Linked DNA regions of Oreochromis niloticus. The protein of the gene in region 1 interacts with the protein of each later gene in a pairwise test. Links are inferred from orthologs where the notes say so. Each region holds a gene or a part of one and is shown on either strand. Other genes may lie near its edges. The genes, in order: aldh16a1 and dera.

Region 1 (8,266 bases):
TTCATCTGGACGTAGCGTTTTCAGTGGGAGAAACGTTTCGTCACTCATCCAAGTGACTTCTTCAGTCTCAGCTGACTGCAGGTTTCCCCAATGTTATAAACAGTACATTAGCATAATGACTGAAACCAGCCCACTGAAGGAACAATGCGCAACAACCTCCAGACCCATTGTTCCTTCAGTGGGCTGGTTTCACTCATGTCATGTCCATATTTTTTCATTTTTCAGACCTGGGTCACTCCAATATCAAATCATCCATTTTTTAAGAACAGTTTCTGCTCCACCACCACTAATTGGCATCACACGTTTGAATGTCCAGTATATAACGTTTGATATATGAAGCTAAAATAAACAACCTAATAACCTTTTGCAAACCAAATCTGTCTACAGGTACAAATAAAGTAACCTGATCCTGCAGATGATCATCTCCTGCATCCGCTGAAGTTAGATAACGGTTCCTGGTGTCTATGAAGTAATTCATTCGTCTCAGTGACAAAGCACAAGCCCAGGATATCTACTGATAGATATTAGTCATATTATAAGCAGGAACACACTGTGATCACAGACAGGCCTCGTGACATCAGCTGAATGGCATCACGATGTCAAATGGAAAAACAATTCTCCCTCTCCTCTCCGCTGCACCTTCATGTTCTTCCTTCTTTTCTTTTGTCCTCTTGCTTTTCTAACACTCTCGTTCTCAGCCTGTCCTGTTTCTTTCTCTCCCTGAACCCCTCCTTCCAGTTTTTTCTCATTCATGAGAATATTCCCAATCTCTTACTGCAAATTCATCATCTAACTGGCACGAGGGCAATGACCAAGCTCAACTTTTAATGAGAAAAAATGTTTAGAGCATCTCTGAGGAATGAGACAGTTCTGATTTCTAGTATTGTACCAATCATACCGTGAGCCTCTGTATCAGAGCCGGACGACCTGCTCTGCCGTAGTGGGTATTTTTTGGCTGTGGTGTTTGCCGCCCCCTGCTGGCTGCGTGTGACCCTGCGCCCGGAGGAGAAGACTGATGCTGCAACAGCTGTTGGCGCTGACTCTACGGCTGAGTCCAGAGCTTCATCAGGACCCACAGTTACAGGAGAGCTGCAGTTATCTACAAAAGAAAGGGGAAGTGTTGAAGTGTTTTATTTACTGCAGTAAAATGACTTAAGAGGCCTTTCAGTGGACTACTCAACCAACTCATTAATCAACAGAAGAGTGATCACCAGTTACTTCATAATTTGATTTTCAAGCATTAAAATGAAAGGTTCTGCCAAACCATGAAAAAATGCTGTTGGAGCCCTGAGTGGACTCTGCTCCTCTTCCAAGAAGAAACTTGACTGGAAATGACTGATTTCGTAAAATGTGTAAGTAGTTTGTCAGTGGCTGAATCCAAACGAAAAAGTTAAAAGAAAACCGTTCAATCCACTTCATTTTTGCAGATAAACAGTCTCTTTGCTGTTTCTGTGTGCGTGTGCGTGTGTGTGTGTGTGTGTGTGTGGGGGGGGGGGGGGGGGGGGGAATATACAAGGAAAGAGTAGCCAACTCTCCTTGACAAAAAGCAGAGGAAACAGTGTCAGCCTCTGTTTTAAATCTCCTCTGATAGCCAGAGCAAAACGAGGTCACCCGGGGGTGGGAGTGTGCGTGATTGTGTGTGTGTGAGAGATGAGGGAGATCAGTCTGTCTAAAGCCATTCATCCTCTATGGCTGCCCATATACAATAGCTATGTCTAAACCAGTGTAGTGAGGAGGGTTTAAAGTCTCAGGCTGGACTCTGAATGAATGCATCTTTAATTTATATTACTTATAGAGACAAAATTACACAGCATGTAGACATGCTTGGATTCTTATGCTTCCAGAACACCCAAAAGCTACACAGTAACCTAAAGAATGTGAAAAGGATAGATGTAATAAGCTAAAGTTTCTGTCTGCACCTTTATCTCAACAAGTTATGTTTTTTCCATTTCATGCAACTTTTTTTTTTTTTTGGTCAGTTTTTTTTGTGCAAACCTTTGGCTCGAAATTTGTTAACGGTGACTAAAGTGATCTCTCTTCTAATTAGTATTTCTGTCCAAATGTGAATGTTTACCTTGTGAACTTTGGCTGAGTCGCAGAGACGCGCGAGTCAAGCGTGTGCTGCTGCGTCTGTGCACAATCTCAGCAGTTTCAGCATGCTCGACATCAGCGGAGAAGTCCGAGTCCTCCGTCCCGTCCGAGCTGCTGCCAGCGGTCCTCTGGGAAAGCAGCAGTTAGAAGTTAGAAGCAATCTGTTAGAAGCAACAACTATGGACGGCCAACACAACCACATGTGACAAAGTTACTTTTTTTTCTCTTCACCAGAGGATAATCCAACAAAGATCCCATTCTGGGGGAGGAGCATCACCCCCTTCAAATCTCCTCCAGCACTGCACCCCCTCTTCCCACCAAGGACTTGTAAATACTCCAGATAAGCCTAATACCAGTATCACCACGGGAGGTCCGGACAGCTAATCTATTGTACCAAGCACAACCTATAACAACTGGGTTTGTTTAGAAGTCCAGCTGATTTCTTCAAATCAGCACGCTTGCAGGTTAGCTAATAAGCATAATGAATGGACTGTTGTTTTATTCTGACAATTCACACTAGACTAATTAGGCAGTGAGGGCTGTCAATCATTGCACAAACAAAACAAAAAAAACAAAAACAAAAAAAACAAAACAAACAAACAAAAACAAACACAAAAAGTATGAAAACAGGATCAAACAATGTGTACATTTCTCTCTGTTTAATTCATTACAACCATTATTATCGTCACAGTATTTATTTAGTTACATTTCTAACTTATGTTAAATGAAATGTAGAAACAGTGACCACTTTGTTGCATTCAGTTCCCATTCTTTTCTCATTTTTTTTGCTAACTATTTATGAAAACAAATGAACAGTTACAGACTTTGATAAAAATAGAACGGTACAGGCAGATCCAGGCCAATGTGGTTATCCTGCTTTATGGACGTTAGCGTAACATCAATAAAATAATAGTAAAAACATATTATTAGGCTAACTAATTGTCTTTTAATAATAATGTGAATTTATAACAATGTAAGTTGAATCACTTTTTAAAACTCACAGAGCCAAAAAGAAACCCAAAGATCAGAAACAACATCAGTACAGCACGGGCTATTACCGCAAACCATGTTTGACAACTTCATAACAAGAGGCTGCGCGCACAATTTGCATACGACCAATTAAATTAAAAAGGAGGCGGGCGTTAGAAAATGCGAATCAATGAACGCGACGCTTGTCAGGCGTCCGTCCAATCACAGCTGTTGTTTTGGTGCGGGCGCCCGTTCCTCCTCGCACCCAAAGAACTGCCTATTGCTTTTTCATCAGTAAGCTAAAGCTGCTGCTACCTAAAGTGTGTTCGGGATTCCCACTGTACCAATCAGCCGTTACAAATGTGAACAAAGTTACCAGCATGTTTAAAACTCTTCTTTGGGTACCAGAAAGAAGCGACGCTTCAAAAACAACATATTCTTGCAACTCAGCAATATGAGCCTGAGCTAGCTTAGCCATATAGCAGCAGCAGATCGACAGCTCACTTATGCGATTCTATTAGCACTGATATTCTACGAATGCTACAAGCCGTTCACTTCGTCTTGTAGGAACGCGTTTTAGCTTGCAGCCCCCGTAAGTTGCTTCCCACACAGTTTGTTTTCTTTTACCTCTACGTCGGCTAACATTAGCTATGACGTTATGTTGTTGTTTATCTGCATTAATGGTTGAGTCTGCCTCACCTTTCTCCGGGGCATTTTTCAAAGATCTGCCGTAACGCCTCTGGCGGATTATTATCCCGTGCTGTGGCAATTTATGGCAGCCTTTTGAAACTGTAACAACGAAAAAATAACCACCAGCTGACATGAGCCAACCCAGCTGAAAAAAAGCGCATAAAATTCTCCGCACTTCCTAGTGAGGACAGCGCAAACTCGCTCTTTTTGGGCGGTACAGTGACAAAATGACTCCGGGGGGAAACATACACCTTCAAATCACGCTACTATGGTGCATTAAGATTTTTGCAGCCAAAAGTAATGAGTAGTCATGATAAAAGCAATAAACAAATGTAAAAAAATAAAATAAAAAATAGCCGTTTAAAGTAATGGCTGCGCTAGTCAAAACTAATAACGTTGTTATAGGTGTGGACCACTAAAAGCACCAAAACACGATGCGTGTTTAAACCAAATTTGTAGTGTGGCTATAAATCTTTTAACTGGAGGAAGCCTTCAAAACAGCAGACAACACAATTACACATGTACTTTTTTTTTTTTTTAAGTGATTTAAGTTTAAAATTTAACACCATAACGTCCTAAGACTTGTGGTGAGTCACATTTATCATTCAAAATCACGTTTTGTTTTAAAATTAAATTATTTGTTTTATTTAGCTATATGACAGACTGGACAGGTGACCGAATGAATGCGTTACCGGTGTTGTACCAAAAAGTGATCGCCTGGCAAAAAGTGATTCCCAATGTGTGTGTGTGTGTGTGTGTTTTAAATGTGTAATGTCTTTACGTATGTTGGTAAATCGACTTCGGTGAACAGGGTTTACAAAGGGGATAAATATAAAATTTAAAAATTACGTTTGTCAAGTATCTTTATAACTCTGTGTTATTGTAAGCAATCCGGTTCTTTTTGTCCACTTAAAATATGTTTACAGAACTATTGTGATATTTTTTGCAATATCTGCTGTCCTCTTGGGCAGATTAATCTTTTAAAAAAAACAAAAACATTTTTATTGTCAACGAGATTTTTTTTAACTGGATAAATAAAGGATATATAAAAGTCATTGCCAAAAACTGATTACAGCTTCTGCCTTGTTACAAGAATTTTGTTTGTGGCTCAAGATGACTTGATATCAGTCATGAGGGGTACATTTGACATATGTTTCACATAGTACAGACCAACAAGTTATATATAGCAGTTTAAATAGGAGCAATCAGTTTTTGGCAAATACCGGAAATCGGTTTTTGGTAGACGATTATTTTTTGGCACAAAAAAAACGGAAATTAGGTTTTATTTTTGAAATTATGTCACACGCGTTATTACAATAATTTGTATGTGTTATACTAAAAAAAAACTAAAAACTGGTTTGATTGTGCTTTACGAAGTTAAAAAAGTTATTTGCCTTTTCTCAGTCTATCTGCGTTCAGGTGAACGCACACAATAGCGGAAGTCGGGAGGAGTGAATCATCTCGCTCTCACGTATCGATCTGCGCGTGTCCACAGAGCGAGCCCATACACTGTCAGCTCAGGGAGGCTAGCACGTTTCTTTCAGTGTCGGAGTGACACTCGACACCCTTCTGCCAGCTTTCTCTCTTCATATTCTTCCTAACTCCATCCAAGAACGACCACGCACAACGACGGCGAGATTTGCTCCCACAGTGGTTTCTTCTTATTATGGCTGTTAGCAGCACCAAGACAGTGTACGAGATTTTCCAAAGCATGGAGTACGGGCCAGCAGCAACTTCTAGCACTGCTACTGCACAGGTACAGATTACGGTCAGATTCGTAATAGGAGACTGCTTTAAAACTAAACTTCCTAACAGATACTAGCATGCTGTGCTGCGGAGTTAGTGGATACCTATATAGATTATTGGACTCGTGAAGTTCATTAACTGTTAGCCCAGTGTACTTCACAAGACAAACATGTGACATAACTAGACACATAATTACATTATAATGTGTCAAGGGATTACTGTTCATGTAGATTGTTTTTGTTTTTTGTTTTGTTTTTATGTCCGTATCCCACCGTAGTCCGTGAAAAACATTTTAGGGGTTTCCTCTTTTTACGTGAACTTGAAAAGAGTTTAAGAGGAACTTCTGCCAAATACCAAATGTAGAAGATGGGATCTCTCAATCGAGCTTTACCCCTCGTTCATAATGTCAGGTCTGCTAAAACTAAGTAAAATCAGGGATTGACCTCAGGTGGCTACTCCCACCTTCTGTGTACAGTCTATGATTGCTACACGCACATCTGCAAACAACTCTGTTAAAACAGCTGTGTAAAGGCTTTTGTGGTTCTGCAGGGACATTGAAGGTTTATAAAGAGTACTAAATTACTGGATAAGCACTCAAACCACTAACATGGTTTAATTTGACAGCCCACATCATGTAGAGCATGAGAGACCGTAGTACCAGTACCACGACTGAGTTAATACATACTGCTAAAAAATGCCATTGGTGCTTTGCAGAGAGTTGAGCTCTGTACTTTGGTCTTCAGTCTGTAAATAGCTGACACTCTTCACTTGGCCTACCCGCCTTTATCAGTCACTGTCATGTATATTGGTCTCTTCAACCAATAAAAGGTTTGTTGGGTTTTGGGTGCTGCTCATCTGCAGTCCATAATTTCACGAGTGTTCTAATAACAATGTCATCATGTTGTGGATTTTAAATTTTAGAGCGCGATAGACTGTAGTTTTCTTTTCTTATTTTCCAAATAATCCACATCTCTTATATCCAAATGCTTAGATTTGCAAAAGACGTTAGAAGGGCCTCCCCTTCTTTACCTGTAAGACATGAGATAACAGCTGGTCTGAGATGTTCAGTATCCTCATCCTCCTCTGTACTCATACAGGCACGGTTTGATAAAAGTGAAGCAAGATTTTTTTGGCTTTAATTCAAGGACTTTCATAAATCTGCAGTTTTCACAAAATCCAATTACTGTGTACCCATCTGCCAGAATGAAATGCACTTTGGTGGTGGGGTGTAGTTTTGGCTCGGCAGGCAGCTCAGGGTTCTCAAATGATAGTGAGCAAACACGAAAACTGAATCTGTGTGCAAGTGTTGGGCTCTCTGCTCTGGAGCTGATCCTTCGCCTGTTCCCTTTCTTCTTCATCAGGCCTGGCTGGAGCATCATTCCCGTTCTCTGGGTCTCTTCATTGATGGCAAATTTGTCTGTCCAGCGGACGGACGGAGCTGCTCCCTGGCTGATTCTAAAGGTGAGAGCAGCCCGAGTCCACATTTTATCATTTAGCTGATTCTGCAGAAGTTAAAACTTTGGCTTCAGACTTTTCACAAACATCCTAATGATGATGACGGTCACGGTGTTTTGCCTGCCTGCTCTCCAGGAAGTATTGTATGCAGCACAGCATGCGCCGAAGAAGCCGATATTTCCCAGTGTGCCTCCTCTGCTGTTAACGGTTTCAAGTCCTGGAGCAGCCTGAGCTGCAACCAAAGGGCCAAAGTGCTCTTGAGGTCCAACAAACACACCTTCATACACCTCACTGCTTCCTTTTTGAGCCACCAGTTTAACATAAAGATGAATTTCCCTGTCTGTCCTCCTCTAACAGGTTGGTGAGTGTCCTCGGGCAGCACGGCCAGTGTTTCTCAGAGTTATGTGAGCTCTGTGAGGCCTCCTGCTCCACCGCTGCCCTGGTCAGGCTGCTGCAGTTCTACAGCAGCTGGGCGCAGCTCAGAGACACACTCCTCACCGACTGGACACCTCTAGGTAAGTGAATTCAGCTATGTTTACAAAACGCTCTCAGTCTTTGTATTCTGTTGTTTTGTAATTTTATTTTTTTTTTATTTTTTTTTTGTCTTCCAGGTGTGGTGGCAGTGGTGACCTCGAAAGACTGTTCTCTCTATTCTCTTCTGCTCAAAGTCCTGCCAGCACTGGCTATGGGTAAAACACACACACCGATGTTTATAGCTGAACCCTAATCTGACTCCTAACATCAAATCTGAACACTCAGATGTTCTGAACATTTCAAATTATTCTTAATGCCTGAGTTTAAAAGTAAAAATAAGCACTCGAAATTCTTACATGTATGCCTCACATAAACTAAATAAACTGTATACCAGGGCTGTGATACAAAGGATATGATAAAAACTTTACTAAAGTATAATGTTATGGTATTGATAAAAACTAGAAAACATACCAAATATGTTAAACAGAAAAAATAAACAATTTAAATTTTTATTAGCTCAGTTATCAGAGTTGGGTCAGGACTAGAGCTGGGCGATATGGCCAAAACCCCATATCGCGGTAACAATATATATCGCGATATATTATTTTCTTCTGTACAGTATACAGTATGTTCCGCATTGTAAGGCAAACTTAAAATCCTTTAATTTTCTCAAAAATCGACAGTGTTCATTATAATCCGGTGCACCCTATGTATGAATTCTGGTTGTGCTTACTGACCTCGAACCGATTTTATGTGGTACATGGCGCTCAAAAATCTGTCAAAAAATGTTTCATTACGGCTACCGTAGTCAGGAGCCTCGCGGATTAATCTGGGTCCTAAA
Region 2 (7,739 bases), on another chromosome or scaffold:
TGTCAATGCTTTTGCATTTTCTTTCGCAAATGTAGCTGAGTAATTATGTTATTGGCATCGATGAGCCACTGCCAATATGTGACATATTGAAATCGCGTTTGAATTTGCGCTTGTTTTTTGCTTTCACTTTGCGATGCGAACGGTGTGTAGAGAGCGGCAGCACTATTCAAACGTGACAAGTGAAATCTCCCACAGCAAGCTTAAACACGTGAGAGGTTGACTGCACAGAGAATTGCTGACCGTTATGTAAGTACGTGTGTAAAAGCAGCAGGATTTACGCCGGTATTTTAGTTCTGCTGAGCCAAATAAGACAGGTCAGGGTGAAGAAGGGGCAGCCAATGAAAAGCCGACCACAAAACGGAAAAGTTATGACAAATCAGACTATGAGGCAAAAAGAAAGCTCAGCTTTTTTGGTTTCATGGACAAAAGAATTTATGTGGCTGGAATATGACGAGCTAAATAACATGATGTTCTGCCAGGTGTGTCGTGAGTTTCATTTCATTTGAGTCGACAAGCGCCTTTGTTACTGGGACCAGTAATTTTAAGAAAGACCCCATCAGAACCCATGAGAAATGCAAGAAATGCATTATACTGCAAACGAGGCTAATCAAAAGCAGCTGTGTCCTGGGGAGAGAGGAGAGTGAGAGAAACAGAGGGGGTAGGAGTGGCAAGAGAGGAGGAGGCGGAGAAAAACACCACGCCCACACAAGGGCAGTTTCAGGAGGCCCAGCTAGGGCCGTAACACCCAGTCTGCAATATCTTTCCCAGAACAAACAGCAATTGCAAAAAACATACTAAAAATAAACCAAGCACAAGCAGAAGTCCTGAAAAATCTTTCAAAAGCGTACTATGTTGCAAAGAGTGAACTACCATTGGCCAAATTTAGCAGTTTTGCAAACTTCAAAAAGCAAATGGCCTCGATCTTGGTTCCACTTACCCCTTACCCTTGACTTCAGTGGAAATTTCAGATTGAGGATCTGACACAGACTGATTCATGTTCTACAGTTCTTACAAGTTCATAGAAATTTCTGTTCAATTAGAAACAAGTATTTGAGTTGATGATTGTAATTTTTATACAGTTGTTGTGATTTGTATTTAACAATTTTCTGATTAATTTTTGTTTCCGTTACAATATTATACTTTAATGTATAATATTGTAAAGGAAACAAAACATTAAAAAATTGCTCTCTTTTTTATTCGGGCTACTTAAATTTATTTTGGGCTACCAAAAACTGAAGAGTGCCTGCCCGAAGGGCTACCAGGGATTTTGAAATTTTGCGAGCCCTGCAGTAAATGGTCTGTCAGTCACAAGGGCCTATCAAATACAAAGAGATGAAAGAGGCAAGACAATGAAATGTATGCGTAATGTATAGCACCATATAGGGCTGCTCAATTAATCGAATTTTAATCTCGATTACGATCTGGGCTTTCAACGATCATTAAGAATGACTGAGCCGATTATTAGCACCTCCCTCGTGCTTTACTTTCGCGGTGCTCCGTGTGGCAAATTGAGCGCACCTCTCTGCGTTTCGAACACGCATCACAACAATAAAGCTTCTAGCTTCTCGGAAAGCTAGAAGTTAGCTTTCCGAGCTAACTTCTACTTAGCTCGGAAAGCTAAGTAGAAGTTATTTAGAGAGGAGAGGAGAGGATAATGGCTGCTAAAGAAAGAATGCCGTTGGTTGAAAAGAGAGATAAAACAACTTCAGTGGTGTGGAAACATTATGGGTTCGCGGAGTCAGACGTGGATCAAGTAGACATGTGTAAACTTTGCTACGGTGTTGTAGCTGCACCACAGACCGACACTACAAATTGACATACCTCAGTGTCAGTTTGATGCAATTGTGCGGCTACACAGCTTGCCTTGAGGTTTGGTTATTTGTATGCATAAATATTATGCAGTATTTTGAAGTTCACTAAACATAGATGTTTACATTTTTCATTTATTTTGTATATTGCAAACATTTGCACTGTTATCAGTATTTGCAAACTATTTTATATTATTTTTTGACAATCTTTAAAGCCATTATTCAATATTGTTGAATAATTGTTATTGTTAAATAAATATCGTCAAATAATCGAGATCTCAATTTCAGTGAAAATAATCGTGATTATCATTTTTGCCATAATCGAGCAGCCCTAGCACCATAGTCAGGTGTTAAAGTAGGCTGCTTGTGTTTCTGGTTCAACACCAGAATGAGTACAGGTGTCTATAAGCTGTCCTCATGTTACTTTAGCATGTCGCACTACAGAAGAGCAGCGAGCATAAAGAGTAATGTGTTTTTTGTGTCACATAATTTCAGATGCAACTTTTCCATCAGCTCAACAAATGTTAGAAAACACACAAACTGTTAATGTGACAGCCAGGTTAACCTGTGACACGTCTGGATTCATTCTGACCTGATTTCAGCTTTTTCATGTTCATACACCAGATACGACCTCTGTGCTAATCCCTTACAAGTACACTAGAGTACAGGTGCAGGTGTCTCACAGGTGACTCTGGTTGGACTGACAAACATCCACTCTGAGTTCAGGTAACTTAAAGTGTACTGTGTAGATGTTGAGGTGACCATCGTCAAATCACAGAAGAGTGAGTGGGAAGAATAATAACAGCAGAACATTTGTCGAAATATAGAATATAAATCAACTTTGTCATTCTTTAAATTTTGTAGTGTCACGAGGTAAACCCACGTGCTTTTTTCTTGTCCGAAACAAACTGTCAGCAGACTGCAGTGCTGTGTTTAGTCTTAATCAGACCTCATGAGCATTCAATTACACAGTAGACCCAGCAGTCACATGACTGGTCAGTAAAACCTAGTTACACGTCGGAAAGCAGGATTAAAACGTTCCCTTTGCGCTGTTCCGGTTCCGTTTGTTAGTGTGCAGTAACATCCATGCTCTCAGGGTCAGTTACCTCTAACTGCTTCACTGACTTCACCTGTCGTAACTTTGCATCGTACATTCAAAGTTTCAGCGTGAAATCCTGCGCAAAGCAACACGACGAAGTTAATATTCCTTGGTTACAAAATCAAATCGTGTTATTGGGTCACGGTAACGTGAGAGCACTATTACTGCGGACATTCTCTCCGTACGTGCGTTTACTTACCGAGCGTCGTGCCCGGGTTTCTGGGCGACATGTTTAGCGACAGAGAACGCTGTCGTTTGTCAACTTCGTCATCAGTCGCACCCAAAATACGCATGAAGTGCGCTCAAAATGCCCGGATGTGTTCTTCTCCGCCCATTTCGTTAGAAAGTCAAACGCCAACGAGGGTAGAAGTTTGTGTGTGACAAAAGAAACTTCCGGTATTTTCATGACGCAGCGACCTGTGAACTGCAAACTAAGCTCACAGCTTTTGCTTTTTCTGTAGATAAATATTTTACAGTCCAGGCCTTGTTAGAAATGCGGCATACGGTATTAATCTTTCTTTTTTTATTGCATCCGACATGAGGATTCACCTGCACATGCATCTACACAAATAAAAGGCACACTTTTAAAATAAAAGCAGCACTGGCAGGAACTAGTTTTCATTTACCTTTCCTGTTTCCCTGACCCTCCACCAGATGTCAGTGTAGTGCAGGATTTTAATGACGTTTCAATTGCAGAATGGGATACACAAAATAAATCCTAATTTTGTCACACATATTCAAATCAAACAACTAAATTAATTCAAAACCCCCAAAGCAAATTCTGAATTGAGATGGAAATATAAAAAATGATTCTCAGGGTCTGAATATTTAATAATAATAATAATAATAATAATAATAATGGATTGCATTTATATAGCGCTTTTCGGGACCCCTCAAAGCACTTTACAATACCACTATTCATTCACTCTCACATTCATACACCGGTGAAAGCAAGCTACTGTTGTAGCCACAGCTGCCCTGGGGCAGACTGACAGAGGCGAGGCTGCCATATCGCGCCATCGGCCCCTCTGGCCAACACCAGTAGGCAGTAGGTGAAGTGTCTTGCCCAAGGACACAACGACCGAGACTTCTTTATATAGTACTTGTACGGTGCATTCAGGTATTCACGATGCTTCACTTGTTCAAATTTTTTTCCATGTATTAAATTCATTTTATAAGAGAGTGGCACCCACTGCCACCGCTGTGGGTGCGCCACCAATAAGAGCGCAGCCTCCAGGTCGAGTTCTATGCCAGTCGGCTTAGAGCAAAGGCCCACCTTCAGGGCCCTGGCAGGATCCAACACCCAGGACGAAGAAGCCTCAGTCCTCCTAGCTGTGAGAATGGATGGAATTGAGGTGTGTTAAATGTTCAGGTGACCATGTCAAGTGTTCCCACTATATTTCATTTTTGTTCCGTAATAAGTATTGAATGCATCACCAGTTTTTTAAGTAAATATATTACTAAAGGAGCTATTAATATTAAATTCTCACCAGAGTTGGTTGGTAACAACCCATCCAATCCACGGATGCAAAGAAATCAAACAATAGATGTCCATAAATTAAGTGTAATAATGAGAAATGACACACGTTTGTAAAAAGTTTAAAACACGCCTACTGAAATTGATTTAATACTTCGTACAAAAGCTTTTGCTGGTGATGACAGTTTCAAGATGCCGCCTGTATGGAAACACTAGAGGCATGCAAGTGTGATTTTGGCCCGCAAACAGTCAATCCTGAAGGTTCTTTGGGCCCTGCAAGTCTTGAACAAATATCTACGAACATTCCAGTTCTAACAGTCAGACAGCTTTTGAATGTGTTTGGTCCACAGGACAATCTAACATGGCTAGACACCTGAGCTCCAGGCAGTTTCTGAGGTTTGCATTCCTGCATTTGCTGGTTCTGTTACACATTCGGGCACTGGGTTTCTTAGTGAACTTTAAAAAGAGCTCACTAACCCCAAGTCACCAGATCTCTTTCTTCGATTTGTGACTGGACACATTAGTCGGACCACAGAGGGGCCGCGTTTTATTGCTGCCTCGCTCAGTTTCAACTGGGACACAGATGGCATTTCCAAACAATGTTATGGTTACTGGGCACAATGGCATCAACGATTGCTTAGTGCCACTCAGACTGTTAAAGATGGTGGTGGACACTCTCTCACAGCCTGTGTGCATCGCGTCACCTCAGGGGGAGGCTGAGGGTAACCGGATCTTGGATGTCCCTGGAGGGAGTCCAGGCTTCTGCACCAGGGTCTTGGACTGAGAGGGTGTTGTTTTGCATGGTGTTGTCTTCAACAGCAGTTTTTTACATAAACAGGTAGGGATGCGCTCCTTTCCTCTGTTAAAGCTGTCTCACTCCCTGTTGTTATGGTGCAGTGTTTGTTTTCTGCCTCTAAGAGCTGCTCATGCTCCAGGCCATCTGACCCTGAGGCCAGACCTTCTCTTACCAGCTACATATCCTCGTCATATTGGCTTTGATGAGGTGACACCAGGTGCACATGTCCTTGCCATACATATTTTGTAAGGGGCTAGGTCCAGCGTCCCTTCATGGGCCTTGACTTTGGTGCTGGATGCCCTTTGTGGCCCCCGCTCTTTGAACTCATGGATTCTGTGAATATGACATTTCTTTCATATAAGACTGCATTGCTTCTCACCTCATGATGCTTAATCGATGTAATCAACTTTAATTTGATGCAGGGTGAAAAAAAATGCACAGAAACAAATTATTTTTCAAGAATAATTAAATAGATTCAACATCTTTCTTCAGCAGAATTGCAGAATTCATAGATGGAACCTTCCCAAAGGAAAAAGTACTATAGCTTACTAGGGTATATAGACTTAAGAGTTACTATATATAGTAATGGACTTCTATACATTTTACATCAGATTAAAATTTTGGGTGTAAGATTCAGATAATTATTTATTAAAAGCGAGACATTTTAAATGAGAATAAGAAAGAAAAGTATGTCTTTGTGCCCCCCTTTTCCCTGTTCATGCCCTATCGGCCCCCCTGGCTAAACTTTGCTAGATCCGCCCCTGCACAGTTACCAGCCGTCAGCTACGTAGAAAAGGATCCTGGTGTAGAAAGTAATATTAAATACATTCTAACAACAGCTTATCAAGCTTAAACGTGCTGCTGTTGTTCAGCCGCTGGTTTCCTCTTTCTGGTCCAAACAAGAGAGACGGGAGTCGCAACAGAAAAGCCGATCAGCTGATCATTGATCAGTTTCATGATTGAAGTAGCAGCAGGAGAGGGAGAGAGAGAGGCAGTCGCTCCATATATCGGTTGTTAAGCTTAACGTGGGAACGCTTTACAAACATTCAGAGATGAACTTACACACTTGCTTTACTTCTCTCTGGGATAACTTCCTCAGAGATGAAATGCTGGTTTGGTAGCGAGGCTACAAATACACACAGCCGCTCTATCACGTGAGCACACTGCTCCGACGTGCTACGGTTATGAGCCGAGTTACGCCGTGTCGCAAGTTTTGTGAGATGCTTTTTTGATATTTAATGGATCGGATTACATTTTTTATTTTTCGCCGATATCCGATCCAGTAATTTAGGTCAGTATCGGACCGATACCGATACGTAATATCGGATCGGTCCATCTCTAATATTTACCCAGGGTTATTCCTGCAGCTTATAGCTCTGTGGAATTTGAGCTTCTGAGCTTTTGCTTTTCTCCTTTTGCATCTGAGGAGCAGAGGAGTTTCCACTGTGTGTGTCTGTTGCATGTGCTACATACCTACATTGACCACACTCAGAATGTGCAATGTGTGACCTGCCTTGCAAATCCAGCCCGAGGTAGAGCTCTGTCTAAACAGAGACTCACTCTCCCACTGGATTACAGAAGCTCATTCGTCTACAGCACCAAAGGTCTCGCTTTGCCCCAAGATGTGAGAATGGCAACCTCAGTGTCTGGTCTGTGGGAGGTCTATATATGTCCCATACTATATGTGATGTACAATATAGTGAATCAACTGAAAGTGATCGAACAGTTAAGTCTATAACTTCTGTTCCCTAAAGGAAAGGAATGTAGTAGAGCACAAGGTTTCCCTGCTCTGCTTGGTGAAGAGCAGCTACCAAACTGAGGGATGACTGTGATGACATGCAGATCTGTCATCACAGGTCACAGGTTTACCTATATCCAGGGGTGCACATAAGTGGTCCGCAGGTACGCATTCGCTGTCAAAATAAAAGACGTGCACCAGATAAGAAGTTGCAACACGCGTTTGCGTACATAAGATTTTCTAGAGGAGGACAGACATTTGTTTAGAACTCCTAAAGATGTTGAAGAAGCTCCTTTAAGCAATTACTTTGGTGTTCCTCCACCTCCAAAGAAATGTCAGGAGTCCGAACCGCAAAAGAAGTGTGTATTCTCGGAAAAGTGGTTGCAGGAGGTGAGCTGGCTTCAAACAAATGACGAACGCACAGAGATGTGGTGCAGAATATGCCGTGAAAATCCCACTCGAGCGGACAAAAACAGTGCCTTTTATATGTAAGCAAACGCGCGCTGCAACTTCTTATCTGGTGCGCGTCTTTTGACAGCGAATGCGCACCTGCGGACCACTTATGTGCACCCCTGAGTATATCACAGATCACCTTAAAGACTTCAGCCTGGACACATGGGGGCACGTTTGTTCCTCTCCTTCAGGGAACAGAAGTTATAGACATAACAGTTCAGTTCTTCTATAGCATTTTATGACTACTTGAGCATGCAAAGTGCTTTATTCAACATGCCTCGTTCACCCATTCACACAAGCACTTTTTCCTGCAACTAAATACCTCCTGTCTAAGATTCAGTATGTTCCCCAAACCTCCGACCTTTCAG

The links.
Region 2: the proteins of aldh16a1 (region 1) and dera interact in binary tests that used the Homo sapiens proteins (3 or more experiments, as listed by UniProt). The link is inferred for Oreochromis niloticus from reciprocal best matches to the Homo sapiens genes ALDH16A1 and DERA.

The regions. Positions count from the first base shown.
Region 1 is NC_031969.2:6,234,573-6,242,838, reverse strand, and holds the start of aldh16a1 (aldehyde dehydrogenase family 16 member A1), read left to right. Parts: upstream 1-5,208; 5' UTR 5,209-5,416; coding exon 5,417-5,506; intron 5,507-6,857; coding exon 6,858-6,957; intron 6,958-7,086; coding exon 7,087-7,213; intron 7,214-7,308; coding exon 7,309-7,466; intron 7,467-7,562; coding exon 7,563-7,640; intron 7,641-8,266. Other genes in the region: histone acetyltransferase KAT7, read right to left, coding at 899-1,099, 2,075-2,219, 3,760-3,774.
Region 2 is NC_031981.2:586,973-594,711, reverse strand, and holds the start of dera (deoxyribose-phosphate aldolase), read right to left. Parts: upstream 3,265-7,739; 5' UTR 3,201-3,264; coding exon 3,107-3,200; intron 1-3,106. UniProt on the Homo sapiens protein: Catalyzes a reversible aldol reaction between acetaldehyde and D-glyceraldehyde 3-phosphate to generate 2-deoxy-D-ribose 5-phosphate. Participates in stress granule (SG) assembly.